Cricetulus griseus: one gene and its partners. The protein of the gene in region 5 interacts with the protein of the main gene of each other region in a pairwise test. Links are inferred from orthologs where the notes say so. Each region holds a gene or a part of one and is shown on either strand. Other genes may lie near its edges.

The links.
Region 1: the proteins of Zbtb9 (region 5) and Lasp1 interact in binary tests that used the Homo sapiens proteins (3 or more experiments, as listed by UniProt). The two-hybrid records come from large-scale screens. The link is inferred for Cricetulus griseus from reciprocal best matches to the Homo sapiens genes ZBTB9 and LASP1.
Region 2: the proteins of Zbtb9 (region 5) and Eif4e2 interact in binary tests that used the Homo sapiens proteins (3 or more experiments, as listed by UniProt). The two-hybrid records come from large-scale screens. The link is inferred for Cricetulus griseus from reciprocal best matches to the Homo sapiens genes ZBTB9 and EIF4E2.
Region 3: the proteins of Zbtb9 (region 5) and Ehhadh interact in binary tests that used the Homo sapiens proteins (3 or more experiments, as listed by UniProt). The two-hybrid records come from large-scale screens. The link is inferred for Cricetulus griseus from reciprocal best matches to the Homo sapiens genes ZBTB9 and EHHADH.
Region 4: the proteins of Zbtb9 (region 5) and Dtnb interact in binary tests that used the Homo sapiens proteins (3 or more experiments, as listed by UniProt). The two-hybrid records come from large-scale screens. The link is inferred for Cricetulus griseus from reciprocal best matches to the Homo sapiens genes ZBTB9 and DTNB.
Region 6: the proteins of Zbtb9 (region 5) and Tsr2 interact in binary tests that used the Homo sapiens proteins (3 or more experiments, as listed by UniProt). The two-hybrid records come from large-scale screens. The link is inferred for Cricetulus griseus from reciprocal best matches to the Homo sapiens genes ZBTB9 and TSR2.

The regions. Positions count from the first base shown.
Region 1 is NC_048600.1:110,966,742-110,970,241, reverse strand, and holds part of Lasp1 (LIM and SH3 domain protein 1), read right to left. Parts: intron 1,986-3,500; coding exon 1,878-1,985; intron 1-1,877. UniProt on the Homo sapiens protein: Plays an important role in the regulation of dynamic actin-based, cytoskeletal activities.
Region 2 is NC_048595.1:438,873,390-438,876,889, reverse strand, and holds the end of Eif4e2 (eukaryotic translation initiation factor 4E type 2), read right to left. Parts: intron 2,506-3,500; coding exon 2,353-2,505; intron 2,256-2,352; coding exon 2,119-2,255; intron 548-2,118; coding exon 475-547; 3' UTR 285-474; downstream 1-284. UniProt on the Homo sapiens protein: Recognizes and binds the 7-methylguanosine-containing mRNA cap during an early step in the initiation. Acts as a repressor of translation initiation.
Region 3 is NC_048597.1:67,170,130-67,173,629, reverse strand, and holds part of Ehhadh (peroxisomal bifunctional enzyme), read right to left. Parts: intron 1,739-3,500; coding exon 1,397-1,738; intron 1-1,396. UniProt on the Homo sapiens protein: Peroxisomal trifunctional enzyme possessing 2-enoyl-CoA hydratase, 3-hydroxyacyl-CoA dehydrogenase, and delta 3, delta 2-enoyl-CoA isomerase activities. Catalyzes two of the four reactions of the long chain fatty acids peroxisomal beta-oxidation pathway.
Region 4 is NC_048600.1:14,491,897-14,495,396, reverse strand, and holds part of Dtnb (dystrobrevin beta), read right to left. Parts: intron 1,483-3,500; coding exon 1,269-1,482; intron 1-1,268.
Region 5 is NW_023276806.1:232,169,860-232,174,000, forward strand, and holds the start of Zbtb9 (zinc finger and BTB domain-containing protein 9), read left to right. Parts: upstream 1-1,341; 5' UTR 1,342-1,617; coding exon 1,618-3,018; 3' UTR 3,019-4,141. UniProt on the Homo sapiens protein: May be involved in transcriptional regulation.
Region 6 is NC_048604.1:108,371,190-108,375,310, forward strand, and holds the start of Tsr2 (pre-rRNA-processing protein TSR2 homolog), read left to right. Parts: upstream 1-1,321; 5' UTR 1,322-1,396; coding exon 1,397-1,480; intron 1,481-1,652; coding exon 1,653-1,743; intron 1,744-4,121. UniProt on the Homo sapiens protein: May be involved in 20S pre-rRNA processing.

The DNA of each region.
Region 1 (3,500 bases), on a different chromosome or scaffold from region 5:
ACACAAAGTCACATGATTGGAGCTCTGTGAGCCATTCCATGGTTTCCCAATCACCCAAGGTCACACCACTTCCCTTCTCTCCATCTAGGGAGCTCTCTGACACACCCTTTTACCCTCTGTGTGGTCTGAGCCAGAAAGGAAACTCCAGGGTGTGTGAGTCAGGCCCAGGCTGGAAGAGGGCAACTGTAAGAAAGTTTCCTGGGGGCCCGACAGGGTTTGAAGCTTCTGAGGATCACCTTCCAGCCCAGGAGAAGCAGTGCATTCCCTCAGGCCGTTCATCTTAAACTTCAGTGCAACGACTGTGTTGCAAAACCCACTTGGTCAGACTATCCCTGGCTCTTTTTATGAAAGAACAGAAAATATCTGAATGAGCTCTCCAAGTCCAAAGCACGTATTCACGACAGTGGTTTCCTTCTTTCCTCCTCTGGGCCCGGTGCATGCTGGGTGAATGCTCCACTGGGAAACTACATCCTTAGTCCTCCTCCAAGAAATTTTCTTTGTCTCACACAGGGGCTCATTATAGAGCCCAGAATGGCTTCAACCTCTTGATCTTTGCCTCAACCTCCAGAATGGCTCTGAATCCATGACTCTCCTGCCTCAGACTCCTAAGAGCAGGCATGTACCACTGAAGAAAGAAAATGTTTCTTCTAGACAGAGGGCAGAATTTGAAAGCTATTCCCCTGGGCAGGGGTGGTTCTATCCCCGACCCCTTTCATGGAATCTACCTGACCCTCCACTATAACTCACCAGGGGCATAGCCCAACTCGCTTATGAGAGTGGCAGGACACTGAGGGACCTGGAACCTGGAGGGTGGGGACGTAGGTAGGCCATCTGAATCTGGATCCTATCCACCCAATCCCTAGTCCCTCAGCCCAGAGTGACATAGGCAACTGGTGGGTCCTTTCCTGTTACAGACACGAGGACAGTGCCTGCCTCACCCTTCATTTACAGGAGTCTTGTTGCAGCTGATAGGGCATGTTCTAACGCTCTGTGCTCAGGTGTGCACCCATGTTCTGTGATGTCTACTCCCACATATTCCAAATCAGGCCCCTGCAAGCCCAAAGACACACAAGCTATGGCTGTGCAAAGAAGGAAACTGAGGCCTGTCCTCTAGCCCCAGCTTCTCTGAAAGACCACACAGAGACTGTCACTTCACCACCCACTCCTCACGCCTACCCATCTAACAGCCAGACACCCAACACCCAACAGACACCGATGGCCAGCCCCAGCTCCGGCCTGAGAAGGCCTGGAGGCAGGGTAGGGTCGGCGGGCAACGCCAGCTGGGTTTTCACACAGGAAGGAAGAGCAAGCTGAGGTGGGAGGTTGGTGAGGGAGAGCGGAAATGACTACAGTGTTAGCACCCAGAGGCAGACAGGAGGCTCAAACCACCCCCCCACCCCAGCCCCAGCTTTGACCCTGGTGCTAAAACAAGCATCTAATCTGCACCCTGCCCCCCCCACCATGCCTGGGGGGAGAGGGGGCTACTCTAGAGAGTGGAAGGTAACTTAACATCCCCATGCATATAACACTCTGGACCAGCCTTAGGAGTGGTCCAGGACCTCTAGGTTCTTCTCTCTCTCTCTCTCTCTCTCTCTCTCTCTCTCTCTCTCTCTCTCTCTCCCTCCCTCCCTCCCTCCCTCCCTCCACACACACACTCTAAAAGGGCAGTCTCTTTAAGGAGGAAATACCACTTGGGCAGAATGCCTAGCAAAGAGGGGAACAAAGAAAGGGCACTTGGGAACCTCAGCTTCTCCCTTCCCTCCATTCAAGCCACTGCCACACAGCAGGCCCTCCTGAGGAACCAAAGCAGGGATGCTAGGGAGCGGATAAGAGAGGAGGGCAGAGGGTAGCTTGGGTAACAGCGGGCAGGAGCTCACATTGCTGATCTGGTCCTGGGTCTTCTTGATTCTCTGCAGCTCGGGTGTGTCTGCCACCACGCTGAAGCCTTTACCCTTGTTCTTCTCAAACTCTTCCTTGTAGCGCACCTGGAGGCCAAGAGGGAAGAGGAGAGCCTGGGGTCAGGTGGAATGTGAGGACAGGCATGCCTAGCCCGAGGCCCCTGGCCAGAAACCCCCAACACAAAGCCGAAGCCTGAGCCGGAAAGCGTCAGAGCAATCATAACCCCATTAATAACCACACAGAAGGTTCTGAGGGGAGACCACACATTGAATGCCCATAAAGAGATGGGCAACACCTTGGGGCTAGAGTGATGGCTCAGTAATTATGAGTACTAGCTGTTCTTCCAGAGAACTGCAGTGAACACTTAAACGCCCCCCCCCCCAAAAATAAAGATGGAGGCACTTCTGCTCAAAGTCTTGACATCAGAACATGCTGACACCAGAAAATAGCATCAGCTGGGCATGGTGGTCCGAGCCTTTAATCCCAGCACTTGGGAGGCAGAGGCAGGCAGATCTCTGTGAGTTCAAGGCCAGCTTGGTCCACACAGTGAGCTCCAGGACAGTCAGGGCTACATAAAGGGAGACCCTATCTCAAAAAAAAAAAGAAAGAAAGAAAAGAAAAAGTCCCAGAAGCTAGTGCCTGGGTGTAATCAGTAAAGCCCTGGAACCAGGGGCCTGCAGCAGCCAGAAGCAGTGACCAGAGTCTACAAAGATGAACTTCAGGCAGCTCACACTCTGGTCTCCAATGTACCTCAATGGACACGAGCCATGAACTCTAGTGACAAGGGACCCTTTCTAATGAATGGATTTCCCACCAGGATCCTGTGCCTTAGCCTAGCTATAACCTTGGTGACCGTTGAGTGTTAGGCATCCTGGTTAACCTGGTTAAGCATAGCTGAGGACATGAGCAGCTAGCTTTCACCCACTGTCCTTTCCCTGGTGGTGGACAGGCTAGCCTGCTGTGCACTGTACTTACAAACTGCTTATGCCAACTCTACCCACTGTGAGTGGGTACCCAGACATCCATGGCATCAATTTAGAGATAGATTGTTAGATTCAGATTCATCTGCTGTGAGTTATTTTCACTTTCCCTAAAGTGGACAATAAACCATACATTCAAAAGCAACAGCAGATTGCCTCTCTGTGACATGTAACCCGGGTCCAATTCCTAGCACCCAGGTGGCAACTCACAACCACCTGTAACTCCAGCTCCAGGGCGTCCAAGGCTCTCTTCTACTCTCTGAGAGTATGGGGCACACACATGCTATAAAACATGCAGGCCAAACCCCATACACATAAAATAATACCCTTTTGTTTGTTTTTTTCGAAACAGGGTTTCTCTGTGTAGCCCTGGCAGTCCTCAAACTCAGAGATCTGCCTCCCTCTGCCTCCAGAGAGCTGGAACTAAAGGTGCACCCCACCAACGTCCACCAATACTTTTTTTTCTTTTTTAAATAAAAAAGATCACTGCTGCCTGAGATTACATGGTTTAGCAGCAAATGTCTTGAGGCTCCAGGATAACAGACTCCCACCACTCCCCCCCCTTGCCTACAGCTATAAGAAAGTCCTTGCCAAATCTGAGGATTCAGCAGCCGGCATGCC
Region 2 (3,500 bases), on a different chromosome or scaffold from region 5:
CACCACTCTGGGCCAGCCATCAGTCTAACTGGATGGGAACTAGTACACTTGAGCACCAGGCAGTAGGGGCTTACTTTGAGAGCTAGATGTCACCTCATTATGTCAGACCGCAAGAGTCCAGGAATAAAGTACCATATAACTACACAATAGGCTTGTGGATATGAAGCTGCATTCCCTGAATGGCCCTGCATGGAGAAGTCTGTGTGCCATCCCTCGATAATGGTGACAGTCAATCCAAAGGCCACATCTTGATGCACCATAAAGAGCAAGAGCATGAGACAAGCTGGTTTAGCACCATTTATTTGTGATCTCAGCTGTTGTTGTAGCTGCTGCTGTCAGCCTGTTCTCAAAGCATAACATGCTCTTCCGTTCCTCTTGTCCAGGACAGAAGGGTCTTCCAGGTGGCACGCCAACAGAACAAGAGACTCCGATGACGCCAGCTTCAATGATGGTGCCATCCAGAGAGGGAGAGGGTCATGGCACATTCAATCGCGGCTTCCAGAGGTTTTGAAAAAGGAGCCTTTGGGGGCCCAGCCTGCCTGGCATTCTAGTGGAAGTGCAAAAGGTAGCTCATTGGGAGAGGAAAGAGAGTGGGGAGCAAGGGAAAGTGGCATCTGGGTCTTGAGGAGGGCGTTACAGCTGCAGGGCAGGAGTCCCGAGGCTCCTAGGTCCTGGAAGGACTTGCTCATGGGACTTTACAAGTCAAGATGAACTGCCTCCAGGTATCAGAGAGGGAGAACACTGGGGAGTGAATGAAAACTACCCCTTTCCTTTCCTAACCAGGGTAAACGGGAACCTAGCTAACAAGAATCCTAGGGAAAGATGTAGACCTTTAGAGCTTGGACTAAACCTAGCAGGAGGGCAGACACTACCTCTATCCTGAAGCAGAGAGTAAGACCGATCTACTCTAAGAAAAATAATGTTGATACAGGATTGCTGAGACAAGCAACCAGGGTCATAGATGGCAAATGAGTGCTGGTGGCTCCAGTGAGTCAGAGGCAGCCACCAATTCCCATGGCAGTACTCCCAGTTATTAACTGGCACCTAGCTGGTATAAGCAAACTCCACCTACAACATTATATGTGAATGCATGGGAAAGAGAGTCTCATATAGTCTGCCTGCTGATGAACACAACTACTGGCTCACTGTTAGTCTTGAATAGGAATGCCATGATGATGACATTGTACTAATGATGACAGCAATAATATTTGGTCCTGTAAGAGCTTTCTTGCTCTGAGGACCCTCAGTTACAAAGATTAAACCAGCTTTACCACAACCTTACTATTTATTCCTGTACTCCTGTCTTATAGCTGGAGAAACTGAAGCACAGCTGCAGAGACTTGCCAAAGGCACATACTGACTCAGGGCCACAGGAGACAATACACATAGAGAAACCTGACTCCTGGCTGGCTGGCTCTCCATCCACCTTTGAGACAATCTGGCAGCCACTCCCATAACCTATTCATAATGACCTGAGCTCATCTCTGTCACTGAAGGAGCAAGCCCTCACCAGGGATTCTCAACGTGGAAAGCACTCATTGTTTCTTTGTACTGTGACTCTACCTTCCCTCTGTTCTCCTCTCTCACAATCTACCCTGCTTCCTCTAGATTTCAACTCTATATATAGAAAGTGGAGTCACCATCTCTGATAAAAAGTCAATCTCCGAAGACAAAGAAGACAGACTAAAGCTAACAGGTTAAACAGACATGCAAAGGTGGGGTCAGGGTGGGCAGGGAAGAGGATTTTATTATTTAATGAAATTGTCTTTAAAAACAGCCATAAAAAAAAAAAAAAAAAAAAAAAAAAAAAACCACTGAAAGAGTTCTGTCTTTCATTTTAAAGCAGTGGTTAGCATAGGAAAGACAAGACAGCCTGTAAAAATGAAGCCAGCATAGGCAGGAAAACTGGGATCCTGCAGAAGGGCTCTCTGCTCCACAACACCTCACAGTAGGTCCTCACTAACAAGAACTTCAGCAAGTGGCCAAAGCCCTGGAGGGGCTGGTGTGTTCCTACTCCACAAGTCAGGGTCATGTATGCCCACATGCGTCTGGGCCCAACTATGGAGCTATTTCTGCTAAGCTCAGGGACCTGTCCCCCCCAACCCCCCCAACACGTACTTGATGCTGTCGGTGTGAGTTTTGTATTCCATAATGGTGTTGGGAGGTAGGTTAAGCACGCGCCGAAGAGTATCCCGGATTCGGGCTGTGGTTGCTTGGTCACTGGCGGTCTTATTCCATATAGAAATAATGTCCTCCTAAGGGAGGAACAGAATGAATTATCAAACCAACCAGAAGCATCAATGAGAGTAGCAGCGGCAACACAAGAAAGAACACTGGGCCGGGTAGACTTACCTGAAAGCGGACAGAGACCACAGCCCCGCAGATTTCCTCCCCAACCATGAATTGCTCCCCCAACATGGCCAGGATGAGATTCTCCCAACAGCGGGATGCTAAGCCTTTCCGAAGTCGAATGATCCACTTGCCACCATTTTTATTTGCATCATCCTATAGAAAGATAGAAAGTGAAATACTAGTCCACAGCGTCATCTTTGAATACCAAAGGAACACTTCTGAAGATCAGGGACTTCTGGTTACTTTCTAATTCAATGGTTATTTCAATGTTATTGAGAGGAGAAATAGAAGGAAAAAAAAAAAAGCAAAGACAAAAAGGCAGCATTCTTGATCTAAATCATTTTCATAAAAACACTAAATAGATTTTTCAAAAAATAATCTACTTTTATAAGAACTATTTTAGGAATCAAAATTATTTTAGGAAATAAAGTCACATTTCAAACACAGACATAATAAGCTGTCTCTAAGTAGCAAGTACATAGACAGAAGCTCAGATCTTTTCTTTATATTGCTTTGGAACCTGCTCTGGAACTCACTCTGGAGACCAGGTTGGCCTTGAACTCACAGAGATCCGCCTGCCTCTGCCTTTCAAGTGCTGGGATTAAAGGTGTGAGCCACTAACGCCCATCTTGAAGTTCAGATCTTAACTCAGACAACAAATTAATAACAGCCAGTCTAATGAGTACTACTGTAACAGTGCACACTCAATGGTGAGAGCATATGGCTAGAAACCTTAAGAGGAAATTCGTATGCTGGTCTTGACATGTAAAGCAGGTAAAGGATGCTGAGGACAACGGGAGGAACATGTCTACACAGAGTCAGGGATATGTGACCTAGGGAAGACAAGATTTTGATGTCTTTTAGGACATTTTTCCTCAGAAAAATGTTCTGGCACTGGAGTATGTGTTGCACAAAAGTGCATTTAAGTAACAGCTCTGCAAAGAGATCACAGAGCTTACCTCTGAGTCTCCTGTTATTCTTAAGTTTTTTTCTTACCTCTTTATTCTCTATCTACTAAGCAAATGCATTACATATACATGTACACACAGACATGAGTTCTATGGGAACAAGGACATCTAAAGGTTTTTACTCCTATAATAACACCATTTTAAGTGACAGCACCTATGATGGTTTGAGTAAGAATGGCC
Region 3 (3,500 bases), on a different chromosome or scaffold from region 5:
AACAGGGTCCTCTTTCTTAAGAGGGTGGGTACTTGTGTATTTTAACCTAGTCTGGAAGCCAGCAAGCCCCAGTGACCCTCCTGCCTTTGTCCCCCTTGGAGCTGGGGTTACATGGGTGCTGGGGTCTAAATCCTGATGTTTCAAACAGGTATCTTAACTGATGAGCTATTTCTCCAGCCCCAAATACATCCCCGCAGATTAGCAATGAACAATCTGTATGAAAATAAGAAAATAATTCTACCTACAATAACACCAAAAAGAATAATACACTGAAAGGGATACACTTAACAAAGAGGACTTCTGGACTAGAACTAATGAAACACTATTGAAAAAAATTAAAGAATGGCCAGGGTATTTAGTTCTCGGTGTTAAAGTGCTTGCCTAGCATGCACAAGGCCCTGAGTTTGACACCTAACATTGATAACAAGAAAAAAATAAAGAAAGAAGGAAGGAAGGAAAGGGGGAGAGGGAGGGAAAGAAAGAAAAGGAATCAAAGAAGACCTAAGTAAGTCAAAAGACATCCACTGTTCACAAACAAGGAAAAATTTAATATTGGTAAGATGAAATATCAAACTGATCTGTAAAACCAATGCAAACTCTGTGCCATCATGTTTTTTTGCATAAATTAACAGTGGATTCTACAATTCATACAGAAATGCAAGAAGCCTAGGAGAGTCAAAACACTGTTTTAAAAAATGATTTCAATGGTTCTGACAGAACTGAAGTATTCAAGGCAGATGGAGTCGACTGAGAGTCTAAAATTAACTCTGGGCTTACGGCCCATGTGGGCACAGGACTGCTACTGTTGAAAGATCCCTAGGGCTGACCCTCAGGATGGAGAGAGTTCATGTATTCTGGCAAGTACATGAATTAACAAGAGCTAACATGAGCACTAAGTTCAACAAAGAACTTAATAGCCCCAAGCGAGTGACATTTGAAGTGTGCTGTGGTTTTTGTACACAACAGTGCAGTTGTGCATATGAACTGACAACCTGTCTGACAGTGCACACAAGTCCTGCACAAGATCAAGCAGACAAAAATCCCAACATAAAGGGGGAGGGGCAGGAAGTGCGACCCCCAGATGAGGGGCTATTGGCCATTGATGGCTGTTGGCAGAGGGAGAGTCGGCTTTCTTTAAGGATGAGCCCACCCTCCCAAGAGGCTACCCGTGTCACAGTACATGGCCTCACACCCATGCACATACTAGCAGCACTAAGAAACCTCTGTGATTTAAAAAAAGAGTGAGAACACATGGAATTGGGGAAAACAGTGGTGGGAGGAGGCTATGGGGGAAATTGAAGGAAAAGGAACAAGGGAGGGGACTTGATCCAAATTTCACATGTATGAAATTCTCAATTGATGAAAAGAAATACACAGGTGTGAAGAATGTACTTACCAAGAACTCCAACTGAGGAGACTGGCTGAGCAGACGCTGTTTTCCAAGATGCTCCAGAGGGAGTGGACCACTTATTTGCAGACTTTTCAGCAAAAAAGGCATACTGCAGGGCTCTAGCCTGTCCCGATGCCCGAAGGTACATAAACAGCTTTTCTTCTTCCTTAATGCCCACTTCATAGGGGTGCTTCACAGAGGCCTGGACTGAACGGACACAAGTCTCTGGAGCCAACCGGCCAGGGAACTGCTTTCGTACTTTGGTGATGGCTTCTGCGAAAATTCTGTCCATGTTGGGCAAGCTTGGAACTGGCTTATTTAAGATTCTGCGGGGTTCTATGGGTTTATCTAAAAGGAATTGCAAAAGATCAGAGCACTGCAAGTATAATACAAAGGCAACAGGACCCCACCACAGCTGAACAATAGTGCATGGTTCCAATGACCCAACTAGACACTCTGTGTTATTATTTAAGGAAACACTAATTCCCATATCTGCTATCTTAGTAATTTCAGACCATAAGTAAAATTTAGAAGATCTAAAGTATTAAGCTACTAATCCAGGCATGAAATGTACATTCTCTTTTTATTCTGCGGTCAAGACAACTTTATAGTAGATTAAATATTAATCTGTTGGTCCAAATATGCCAGTTCTTAGTTAATATCATATATTCAAAAATATTCACTTTCTTTTCTTAACAATGACAAAACCATTTTTGAGGGGGGGATTCCAGACAGGATTTCTCTGTGTAACCGTCCTGACTAGGCTGATCTCAAACTCATTGAGATCTGTCTGCCTCTGCCTCCCAAGTGCTGGGATGAAAGGTGTGTGTCACCACCACGGGGCTACAAAATCTTTAAAATACATAGCAGGTGGGAAGCAATATGATGCAATGATTGGTGACAGAAGATAATTGAAAGTTCATTGGTAAATTCTTTCAATAGAGTGAACTGATTTTCAGGACAGGAGGGAAGACAGTCAACCGGGGGAGGTGGGGGGGAGGAAGTCTTTTTCCCCAAAAGGACATGGAATAACTGTATACACAGGTACTAAGTAAATGAACTGTCCCTTGTGAAGCACGCACCTCCAAATGAATCATCATTCTACTGAACTCCTAACATATAAAATTTTCTAGGAAAATAAAACAAAACAAAGGAACAATCTCTGTGACCTTGAGTTAGTTACTAGAACCTTATGGTTCTGTAATTTTATCAAATGATCCAATAAAATGGTTTAAAAAATCAGGCAAAAATACAACAAATTAGTTACCAAAACTCACTACCACAAAATGTGGTCTAAAAAGGGTTGCCATCTCAAGAATGAACCGTTATGGCAAAAATGTACACCTAAGAGAGTTAGATGGAGAACCTGCCGGAGCTTATAACATATGACCATTACAGAAGAACACAGAGCATGACAGTCGTGTGCTGAGCATCCTCCAAGGCAGCCAGTGAACGGCCTGGGTAGCACCATGGGCTTCTGCAGGCTCATCCCGTTTTTCTCAGCCAAATGCCAAGACCATGACTCGAATACACAAATATTAAGTACTTGTAGCTGTGAGAAGGGCTTTAAGAGAACACCATCTTGTAGGACGTAAAGAGCACTTTCCAGCACAGCATGCAGACAGGGGTTAGCAGTGTGTGGCTCCTCCTCACCCTGCTCCTTTGGAGAACCAGGAGCTACAGCCATCACTTAGTTATTCAATACATTAGCCCAGTCCTCAGGGCAGGGGAGGCCGAGGAAGATGAGGAGACCTGTGCAGTCTACAGTTGGTGTTATTCATGGATGACGAAAGAAGACAGTGTGGATAGAAGAGAGGACAGGAAGAGAACATGTTGGGGGGAGGGGGGCAAGTGGAAGAGAAAGGAGGATGGATGTCAGGGCTGTGGCCTCACCCATGCAGGACACTGCAGCCCGGGAGTGCTATCCTTGAAGCTGCTATTGCCCCCCCCTCCAAGACTAGAACTGCCTCCTAAAGCCACTGCACACTTGATTTCTTTCAAAAGTTTAAGGTCAGATGGCTATTTCCCCATCACAGATGCAGTTTAACTGTTTTAAGGACATAGACAGGATGTGACAATCTGAAAGACGTTAGCATTTGACTTTGATGCA
Region 4 (3,500 bases), on a different chromosome or scaffold from region 5:
GTAAGGTAATTTTTATTACTACATTTTTTGTTGTTTTTTGTTTGTTTGTTTGTTTTTCCAGACAGGGTTTCTCTGTGGCTTTGGAGGCTGTCCTGGAACTAGCTCTTGTAGACCAGGCTGGTCTCGAACTCACAGAGATCTTCCTGCCTCTGCCTACCAAGTGCTGGGACTAAAGGTGTGAGCCACCACTGCCTGGCCTATTACTACATTTTTAAAAATTGATTTTTGAACTGATTTATGTTGTGTAAGCCTGGAAGTGGCTATGCCCCTGGGATTAGGACCATGGTAAAATGCTACTTGGTCACAAAGAATAATAATTTCTGTCAAGGGTTTTGGATTGCAAGAGTTGATTCTTAAAGAGTACAAGATTAACTTAATCCATAACCCTATTTTTAAATGATTTTAAGATTTGGGAACTTTTTAAAATTCAAATTTCTTTAAATAATTTTTACCAAATGGGTAAAATATCTAACTTGGTAACATAAACACATTATGAATCTTGGGAAAGCCTAAAATGTGACCTGGCTTTGACACATCTATATTTCCTCACTAATACACAGAATTTTTGCTACCACAACTAATACCATTTTACAAATGTATAAACTCAGCATAAATCTATAGAGAAACAATGAAGCAAGAGAATTTATTCATCCAAATCCAATGATCAGAAGAACAGCAGTGGGAAGAAACAGGAACTCTTGGCTCTTGGAGCAGAACCAGTTCTCCACAGTCCATCCTTTAGGATTTGTTTGGTTTGCTTCTGTTTTGTTTTTTATAGAGCAAATCCTTTCCATTTTAATTGTGATACACTAAAGTGGTCTCTTGCTCCTTGTTGTAAAGTTTACCACACAGTGTATCAAAACTGAAAAAGTCTGAAATAGATTCTTAGTTGTTTAAGAGAAAACATGAGTCTAAAGCCGTTTGGTGTTACAGAGTAAAGAAATATTAGCCTTAAAGTCAACTAGAAAGCCATATCAGCAGGTTCAAAGCTTAAGCATTTCGTAATTGTGGGAGAGGGAACAAGTCTGCTAAAGTGCCTATCATTTTACCAGGCAATCTGACTCAAGTGGGTGATTCCCTACCTATTACACAGCTCCATCTGTGGCACACCAGAGGACAGCAGAGACTGTCCAGAAGGTAGGAAGGACTTACACTGAGTAACTCACCTCCACTGTGGCTCTAAGCTGGCAAAAGTTAGCAATGCAGTGGGGGGGGGGGTGTCGATGAAGAGATGGGCAGGATTTAAAAGTGAGCATATGAGTACTAGCCTGTCATACGCGGCAATCATAAAGTTGAGGAGGAGACTGATGGACTGTTCCACGCTGATTTGGTGAGTAGAAGGAAGGCGCTTGTTCAACTGATAGTAGATGGAGGAGATGACGGTCTCAAGGCGGGACACACTGATCTCAGTGGTATGGTCTAGTGTGTTAAGGCCATTGTCTCGGAAAGCTTCAATCATGTTCCAGATATCAACGAGATGAACTAAACCAAAGAAAATAAACTGTCAAAAATTTTAAAGGACAGTGTCACCTCACAACTGGATACTTAAACTTATCAACTAATTTTTTTAAGCTTAAAGAAGCTCAGCACTGGGTGTTGGTGGCGAACACCTTTAATCCCAGTACTCAGGAGACAGAGACAGGGGGATCTCTGTGAGTTCAAGGCCAGTCTGGTCTACAGAGAGAGTTCCAGGACAGCCTCCAAAGTAATACAGAGAAACCCTGTCTCAAAAACAAAAAAAAAGAAAAGAAAAAAGAAAGAAAGAAACTCAGCAGGGAGGGGTGGCCTACACCTTTAATCCCAGCACTTGGGAGGAAGAAGCAGGCATATCTCTCTGAGTTTGAGGCCAGCCTGGTCTACAGAGTGAGTTCCAGGACAGCCAGGGCTACACAGAGAAATGCTATAGCCCATCAAAGTGACTTCATGAAGTACTAATGGAGCATCGTGCATAAATTAAAAATTAATGCCTTGGAAAATGACAATGAAAGAAACATGGCTGCAATCCAAGTTGGTACAAGAATTTAAGATTTAATAAGTCTTTTTTAAATTGAAATACGGTCTCACTATGTAGCCCTGGCTAGCATGAAACTTGGTATGTAGACTAGGCTGGCCCTTGAATTCACAGAGATCTCCCCATCTCTTAGGTGTCTGCCACCACACCCACAACCTGGCAGGATATTTAATTATTTTTTAAAATTTATGTATTTATATATATACACGTGTTTTATCTGCATGTACATCTGCACACCAGAAGTTATCAGAACCTATGGGATTTGATGTTATAGATGGTTATGAGCCACCAGGTAGGTGTTAGAAATTGAACTCGGGACCTCTGGAAAAGCAGCCAGTGCTCTTAACCTCTGAGTCATCCCTCCACTCACCCATCCCCCTTTCAAAAGTTTTATTTATGTATAGGAGAAGGGTTTTTAAGAGTTTTTAAGTTATCAATGTAAAATGACTTGCTAGAGTCACTTGTTTATAATAAATAGTAAAACTCAGTCTTTTAAGACAGATTTTTCAGGCTGGAAAGATGGCTAAGTGGTTAAGAGCACTGGCTCCACTTTCAGAGGACCCAGGTTCAATTCCCAGAACCCACATGGCAGCTCACATAGGGTTTGCTTCAGACCTGAGACGACTCCTCCTCCTCTCACTCCTCCTCTGTAATTCTAGTTCCAAGAGATCTGACACCTAACACAGATATACATGCAGGCAAAACACCAATGAACATAAAATAAGTCATTTTTTAAAAAAACAGATTTTCCAATTTTTAGTCTAGTATTCTTTCCATTAAATAAACCAGCTTTTCATAAAAACAACAACAACAAAAAAAAAAAAAAACAAAACAGCTTTTCATTAACACGTGTACATACAAGAAAACTACAGCAATTCTGGAACAATTCATCTTTACGGACAGTAAAAGAATACTTATGTATGCATATATCTGGACATATTTTAAAATTCACATGATGGCCATTACTTATTAAAAGAAGCTGATTTGTGTTATACTAAATTCAATCAAGAAAATCAATTTTTACTGTATCTGTATCAAAACACCAAGGTCTTTCTTTCAGAAGCTAGTAACTACATTAATTTTGCACAAAATATTTTCTCTCCCTGAAATAGGATTACTATTCTGCCTCTCAGAACCTGTAACTAATTCCAAGTTCTAAGAACTGGAGCAGGGTCCACAGCTCAGGGAGTCAAGGCCAGGGCATCCTCCACAGCTCAGGGAGTCAAGGCCAGGCCATCCTCCACAGCTCAGGGAGTCAAGGCTGAGGTAGACTCCATGGCTCATCGAGTAAAGACAATTGTGCAAACCTTGAGGACCTGAGCTTCCGTATCTGGAACTCACACGGCAGAAAGAAAGAACAGACTCTTAAAAGTTACCCTGTGACCTCCATGAACTATAGTGTGAACATACACACACACACACACACACACACACACACACACACACACACACAAAATTAAAAAAAAATAACACATTCTAGCAACATTAC
Region 5 (4,141 bases):
CGACCTTTTGTATGGACAGCTCTCCTTCAGCCTAACCCTCTACACCCACCCAGCCGGGGCCAAATTTATACTTCTATAAATGTTGTAAATATGTGAAATTTTATCCCGTGCCCTCCCTCCCCTCTGCTTACCCCACTTGAGGCCCTACCCGGTCCCTCCGCCCTCCTCTTTGGCTGTTGTAATTATCTGGGGTTTGTACTGTACATAACCGGGGTGGGGGCTGGGAGGCGACCCCTCTGTACAGAGCTTCCCGGCTCCCGGCCCGCCCCTCTCTCCCGCCTCCAGCCACCTTAAGAGTAGGGAGCCGCTCTTCTTACTCGTTTTGTTTCCTTTGTTTACTCGTTCTCACCGCCCTCCTCCCAGCCCCGTCGCCCCTCGCCCACTCCCGGCCCCTTTCCTTTTTTTCTGGAGTGTGTGGTGAAACAAAACTCATGTTTAATAAACGGAGATTGTTCTTTTATCGCTGGACTGACTTTTTTTTTAAAGATTTATTATGTAGACAACATTCTGCTTCCATGTATGTCTCACTGCACACCAGAAGAGGGCAGCAGATCTCATAACGGATGGTGTGAGCCACCATGTGGTTGCTGGGAATTGAACTCAGGTCCTCTGGAAGAGCAGTCAGTGCTCAACCTCTGAGCCATCTCTCCAGCCGGGGACTGACTTTCATTTATTTAGTTGTCGAGACAGGGATTCTCTGTGTAGCTTTGGAGCCTCTCCTGGCACTCGCTCTGTAGACCAGGCTGGCCTGGAACTCACAGAGACCCGCCTGCCTCTGCCTCCCGAGTGCTGGGACTAAAGTGGGCGCCTCCTCGCCCGGCACCGGAGTCCTGGAAGCGCTGAGGGAGTGGCCGGCGCTGCTCGGGAGAAGGCTGTCAGCCCGCGGCGGGCGGGCTCACCCAGGCGTGAGTGCGGACAGCGCACAGCGGCCGAGCGCCCACTCGGCTCTCGCCCAAGCCGCCGTCTGCGCGAAGCTCTCCGGAGGGGACGCCTCTGCGGGACGCGGCCGAGACCCGCGGTCCTGGGCGAGCGCGCGCCGCAGACTTCCGGTCCGGCCGCCCCGCGTGCACACCGCGGACGGCGCACCCACCTCGCCCTTCCCGCCGCCGCCGCCGCCGCTCCCCGACGGTCCCAGCCCTGCCCCCGGCGGCACAGCCAATAAGAAGGGGGCTTGTAGGCTGCCGTCCTTCCATTGGCTGCAGCCCGGCTCCGCCCCGCCCCCCCCCGCCCGCGCGCCTGGCTGCAGCGGTCCGGCGGAGCGGCGGCGGCTTCCGGCCGAGCAGACGCAGCGGAGGCCGGGCGAGCGGCGAGCGGCGAGGTGAGGCGGGCGTGCGGTGGGGGCGTGCCGGCGGGAGGGCGCGGCGGACGGCCTGTGTGAGCGCGGCGAGGCGGGCGGCGACCGGCCGGCCCGCAGTCGCGCCCGGCTGCCGCGGGGCCTGGAGGTGAACACCCGGCGCCGCTTCTCTCGCTGGGGCGCGGGACGGAGGCGCGGCGGCCGCTGGACACGGGCGCCTGGCCCGAACCTGGGTGACCCGCTCTCTCCTCCTCCTCCCAGCCTTGGGTCCGCGGAGCCCCGCAGGCCCCCGACGCCCTGCGCCTTCTCTCCCCGAGGTGGCCATGGATGCGGCGACGCTGCCTCCCACGCCGCCCTCTCCCCGGGGCAACCCAGCCTCTCGGACCATCCACATCGAGTTCCCTCATCACAGCTCCTCGCTGCTGGAGTCCCTGAACCGCCACAGGCTGGAGGGCAAGTTCTGTGATGTGTCCCTCCTGGTTCAGGGCAGGGAGCTCAGGGCTCACAAGGCGGTGTTGGCCGCTGCCTCGCCTTACTTCCACGACAAGCTGCTTTTGGGGGATGCGCCCCGACTCACTTTGCCGAGTGTCATCGAGGCAGACGCCTTCGAGGGACTCCTTCAGCTCATTTACTCGGGGCGCCTCCGCCTGCCGCTCGATGCTCTCCCTGCCCATCTCCTTGTCGCCAGTGGCCTGCAGATGTGGCAGGTGGTGGACCAGTGCTCGGAGATTCTTCGAGAACTAGAGACATCGGGTGGTGGTGGAGTCTCGGCTGGCGGAGGAGCCTCCTACCACACAGTTCTTTCCACAACCTCTCCGGGAGGCTGGTGCATCCGGTCCTCCCCTTTCCAGAGCACAGCGCGGTCCTCTGCTCCCACAGAGAGCTCGGCTTCTACTGAGAGCCCCGTGGGAGGGGAGGGGAGCAAAGTGGAAGAAGGAGTGTTAGAGATTCAGGTGAAGGAGGAGGAGGACGAGCAGGGGTCAGCAGCCCCGCTCTTCCAGACTCCTCAGCCTCAGAGAGTATCCGGAGGGTTTCCCCACGCCTGTGCACCCCACCCACTGCCCACATCTGCTCTTCCCAGCAAGCCTCCGGAGGAGGAGAATTCAGCCCTTGAGCCTCCTGCCCCTCCTGGCCGAGCTTCCCAGGTCTTGTATGTCAATCAGGAAGCCCTTGAGTCTAAGGAGGAGACATCAGGAAGTAGGACTCGGTCTGGAGGAACAAAGGAGAAGACCAAAGCCGTTTCTGAAGGGGACTCTGAGGGAAATGGGGAACTAAGATACTTGCTGTCCTCAGGAGGAGGGGAAACCTCTGGAGCAGGGGATCCACCCTGGAAGCCAGTGGATCTTCACGGGAACGAAATCCTGTCAGGGGGCGGGGGGCCTGGAGGCTCGGGGCAAGCTGTGCATGGGCCTGTGAAGCTGGGAGGGACGCCCCCCGCAGATGGGAAATGCTTTGGGTGCTTGTGTGGAAAACGGTTTGCAGTAAAGCCGAAGCGGGACCGCCACATCATGTTGACCTTCAGCCTTCGCCCTTTTGGATGTGGCGTCTGTAATAAACGCTTCAAGTTGAAGCACCATCTGACAGAGCACATGAAGACCCACGCTAGAGCTCTGCATGCCTGTCCCAACTGTGGCCGTCGGTTTCGCGTCCATGCCTTTTACCTGCGCCACCGCGACCTGTGCAAGGGCCAGGGCTGGGCCACTGCCCACTGGACTTACAAATGACTGCTAATGCTGTATACTGACTTCTAGGATAAGACATAGCCGCTGCTGCTGCTGCTGGATTCTTACCCTTCACCACCTCAGTCCTGGATCGTGTAGCCATCCCAAGAGATGAGATACGTTATGAGCCCCTTACTGTTGGCTATGGGCCTCACCCTCGTGTGCTCGGAAGTTCAGGGTTCTCAGTTCAGCTGTTTGTTAAGCAGACTCTAGGAAAGTCATACTTTTGATCACTTAAGCTATGTGGCCCTCTTTGTTTTGATAGCCAGTGAGGAAACCATTGACTTCAGATGAAGTTAGTGAGAGAAGAGTTGGAACAAAATGACCTAGTAACTTTTACTTCACCTTCACCAGGAGGTAAGGGAGCTGGTCTCCAACTAGAAACGTGTTTGATTCAGAGCTCAACCAATTGCCAGACTGAACTCCATGAGTGCCCCCACCCACCCACCCACCCACACACACACACACACACTCGGCAGTGCGCTGTTTCTTTCTAGAAGCTTTTAGATTGTACTTTGCCTTCTTACCAGTAGACACCTTCCAAAATATTCTTTTAAAAATGTACTTAAGCCAGGTGACGGTGGTGGCGCACGCCTTTAATCCCAGCACTTGGGAGGCAGAGGCAGGCAGATCTCTGTGAGTTCAAGACCAGCCTGGTCTACAAGAGCAAATTCCAGGACAGTCTCCAAAGCCACAGAGAAACCCTGTCTTGGGGGGAAAAAAAAAATGTACTTGAGCCTGCAACAAGTGTGGTTACTCACACATTTAATCCCAACACTGGGGAGCAGAGTTAGGCGGATCTCTGTGAGCTCCAGACCAACCTGGGTAGCATAGTTTCAGCATAACAAGTTTCAGGCCAGTCAGGGCTACACAGTGAGACCTGGTCTTTTTAAAGAAAAAAGTACTTGAGCACTTTAACATATCAAGCATTTCATATGTAATTGCAGAACCCTAAGAGGATATTCCCGCAACAGCCTTTGCTCTTTCTTGTCTAGACTACCACTGACAACTTGCTTATGATCACAATGACAGATGTGACCAGTGAACTCAGGAGATGGCAACTGACCTAAAACGCTCTCAGGGTAGCGCTGTTGCTCTCTGAACAAATTGCCCTGATCTGAAGGAC
Region 6 (4,121 bases), on a different chromosome or scaffold from region 5:
GCCCTCTGATGCCCGTTCTCATTCTCTTTGCCTTGCAAAGCAAAAGTAGCCATATCCTCTTCTACTTCTAGTTCAACCTTGCATGTCTCCTCTGTCCTGTGTGTGCCTCAATCTTAGGCTTTTTTTTTTCTTTTGGCTTTTCGTGATAGGATCTCTCTGTATAGCTCTGGCTATCCTGGAACTTGCTCTATAGACTAGGCTGGCTTTAAACTCATGAAGATCCGTGCTTCTGCCTCCTGAGTGCTGAGATTAAAGGCGTGTGCCATCAACATCGGGCTCTATTTATGTTTAAAAGCCATCTAATAGTAAAGGCAACCTAGGCTCATTCCTGTTTATGATTAAATCTGTTTCTCAAAGATTGGGCTATGCCTCACCTGCAACCTTAACTACAAATGGCTCTGTACTGCCTGTTCCAGGAAGCGGCAACCATGCCTTTGTTTCAAAAAGTTGTTTATAACCATCTTGCAATCCTATCCTTGTTTCAAAGGTTGTTATGATTACCTGTTGCTATGACTACTTTATGACCACCCTGCAATCATGTATGTTTCAGGAGGTGGTTATGACTAGCTTCTTATGCTTATGTTCTGCTCCTGTAACCCCACCTATTTTCCCCCTTTTGGAAATCCCCTATCCCTAAACTATAAAAACTTTTGTCTTCCTCACATCTAATGCTGACCTCTTAAAGCTCACCTTAGGGGGAGGCAGCCTGTGTACACGAATAGAAAAGCTTGTTTTAATTAATTGCTCGCTTTAATTAATTTGGCCATGATGATTTGGGCCAGTGGTCTTTCTCCTTCCTCCTTTACCTGTACTTTCCAGGAAGTCTGGGGAACGTAATTGTTTCAGTGTTTGAGAACGAAGACAAAACTGTATAATAAGACAAACGTGTATTTTGCTGCAGTTGGCAGTACTGTTCTATACAGGTGTTATGATGCTGTTTGAAATCTTAAAAATTACATTTATTTATTGTGTGTGAGCACATGTGCCTGTTCGTGCCACCAAGGACATAGAGGGGAAAGGGGAAACTGCAGGAATTTGTGGGGCTTAGGGATCGAACTCAGGTCGTCAGGCAAAGGGGCAGCCTCTTAGGGGCCCTCAACTGTAGGTTCTTTCTCTCCTCCCCTCTCCTGTCCTCTCTCCTCTCTCTCCCCATTTCTCCCTCCCTCTTTCTTTCAGCTATGCTCCCTAAGTCCTCTTCTCCAGGTTCAACTTTAATTATTAGGATTTACTGTGGTAAGTGACATCATCTACCACTGACACAATTTTCGACTCTTCTGGTCTTGCCGCCAGGTCAGCAGAAAACGAATCTGCGTTTTGAGAATCGGCTTTTGGCTCGTTTTGCCTGAGGAAGTCGTCTGCGCGGTTGGGCTGCCTGGGAGCCACGTGATCTAAAGGGATGATGGCGGGCGCAGCAGAAGACGTGCGAACGCTCTTCGGAGCTGCTATCCGCGCGGCTCTGGAGGCTTGGCCTGCATTACAGGTGAGTGAGGCCACGGCGGGGGTCACAATTAGAGCTGGGGCAAAATAAGAGCTGGCAGGGCGAGGTGCCAGAGCCTCGGCTGGGCGGTGTAGGCGGCACACTCCCAGGCCATGGCAGGCCACGCCACTCTGATTTCCATGCTGTCATGGTTGGCTTGGGCCTGTGTTCACAGATCGCTGTGGAGAATGGCTTCGGGGGCGTACACACCCAGGAGAAGGCCGAATGGCTGGGGGGTGCAGTGGAGGATTACTTCATCGCCAATGGTGAGTGAGTGTGAGACATTGCTGTCTGTCTGTCTGGTTTTGGAGCGGCAGAGCCTCGTTCTGGGGAGCCCGCGCTTTCTCATGCCGAATGAATGGTGACGTTGGAATCAGACTCTTGCGTTTCGAGTGCGTTGCAAGCAATGACACTGCATAGTGCTATGATCCTGGACAACACATTTTTACCTTCCAGAGAGCCATTTTCTTAGTTCCTAAAATGGTTATGAAAAGATCTGGTTAATAGAACTCTTCGAGCCATATCATGTAGCTTGAAAAAAAAATGCTGTCTCGAAAAATACAAAAAAAACAAAAAAAATTGCTGGATCAGGGGAGGGAAAGATGGCGCCGTGGGCAAAGGCTGGCAAGCATAACAATTCGAATTTGATAGATGGGACCACGTGGAAGGAGATATGAGTCACTTAAGATGTCCTCTGACTACCCCTACACAAGTAAACGTAATTTAAAAATTGTTGTGTGGGAGTGTAGCCCAGTGGTAGAGCACTTTCCTAGCATGCTCATGTTTCTGGCTGCCATTCCTAGCACAACCAAAACCAACAGCAGTACCTCTAATAAAATAAAAGGCCAGACCCTGTGTTGCAGGCCTGTAAGTCTGAACAACTTCACCACGACCTTGTCTTACAATAAAAAATAGAGTTGGGGATATAAGCTTGTGGATGTGCTTACCAACTACTGTGAGACTCTAGGTTCAGTCCCCCCCTGCCACGAATGAATGAATAAGTAAATGAATGAAAGAAGCAAATATAATAGTATTAAATTCATAGCCAATCTAGCATATGGGCCATGTGATTCTAGCACTAGGGAGACTGAAGTAGGAGAACTGCTTTGAGTTTGAAGCCAGCCTTGGTTATATACCCAGAACTTGCCTTTAAAATAAAAAAGGGGCTAGAGAGATGCTTAGTTTCCTGTTTTTCCAGAGGACAGAAGTTAGGTTCCCAGCACACATGTCTGGCAGCTCACAAACTCCTGTAACTCCAGCTCCAGAGGATCCAAAGTCTTCTTCATCTGCACACATGTGCACCTATACATAATTAACAAATAAGTAAAATGCAGATGGAAAGATGGCTCAGCAGTTGTTCTTTCAAAGGACATGAGTTCAGTTCCCGGCATCCACATGTTGACTCATACCTGTCTATAACCCCAGTTCCAGGGGAATCTGACACTATCTTCTGTCCTCTGTGGGCACCAGGCATGCACATAGTGCACAGGCAAAATCCTCCTCCAAAATATTTCAATATGTCATAAGAATTAAGCATTTTACACATTTTTAGGATTAAATTTGACAGTCTGGAATTTTAAAGGTCTTAATGGGGGCACTTCTTAATTGAGACTAGCCACATTTCAAGTGCCTGTGCTCAGTGACCACACATGGCTACTTCTACAGCAAAGATCTACACCTTCCTTTTATCTTTGTGGGAAATTACAGAACAAAAGGACCTAGTGGGAATAGTACATGCTGTGGTTTTTATAAAATTCTCCATTGATATCCTAGTTTTACTGGATGATAAGTGTTATGATAAAGAGGTGCTCAGAATTCTTGAGTTATCTGAGCCTGAGGAGAAGCCTTTTGTTTTTTGTTGTATTTTGGTTTTTGAGACAGAGTTTCTCTGTGTGTCGCTGGCCTAGAACTCTGTAGACCAGGCTGGCAGCCTTTTTGGGGGAGGGGGGGCGGGGTCAGAGTAGTGATTGGGGTGGGTCTTAAGGAATGAAAAGGAGTAAACTAGCTAGAGACATAATGCACACTCAGAGGAGTTGAGGAGATAAGTGTTGTATTTTGAAAGGGCCAGCTGCATTGTAGTAAGGGAATGGAAGCGTGGTAGAGTATGAGTGTGTGTGTGCAAAGACACCCTAAAGTATAAGGGATGGGAGGCCTTGTGTGCCTTTGATTATATCCTTTAGGCCAGTGTTTATAAAATTCAAGCTATAGAAGACTTGTCCACTTAAGATATTCAATGCAGAAAAGGTTTCTCCAGTCAAATTACATAAGCTTTTTTCCCCAGCTGATATTTTAGTAGTAGTAGTAGTAATTGGAGACAGTATCTCCTTTTATAGTCCAGGCTGTTGTGGAATTTATGTTCCTCCTGCTTCATTTTCTTGAGTGCAGGGATTGCAGGTGTGTGCCAATGATCCTCGCTTTGTTTTCCATTAGCTTTCTATGAAAATCCTCATTAAAACTCAGCAAAATTGAGCTGGGGATGTAGCTCAGTTGGTAGACTACTTGCCTAACATGTAAGAAGCCCTGGTTTCAATCCCCAGAGCCACATTAACCAGGCATGGTGATTCATGCTTGTAATCTTAGCATCTAGAAGATGAAGGCAGGGGGATCACCAGTCACTAGGAGTTCTAGGCTACCCTTGAGCTAC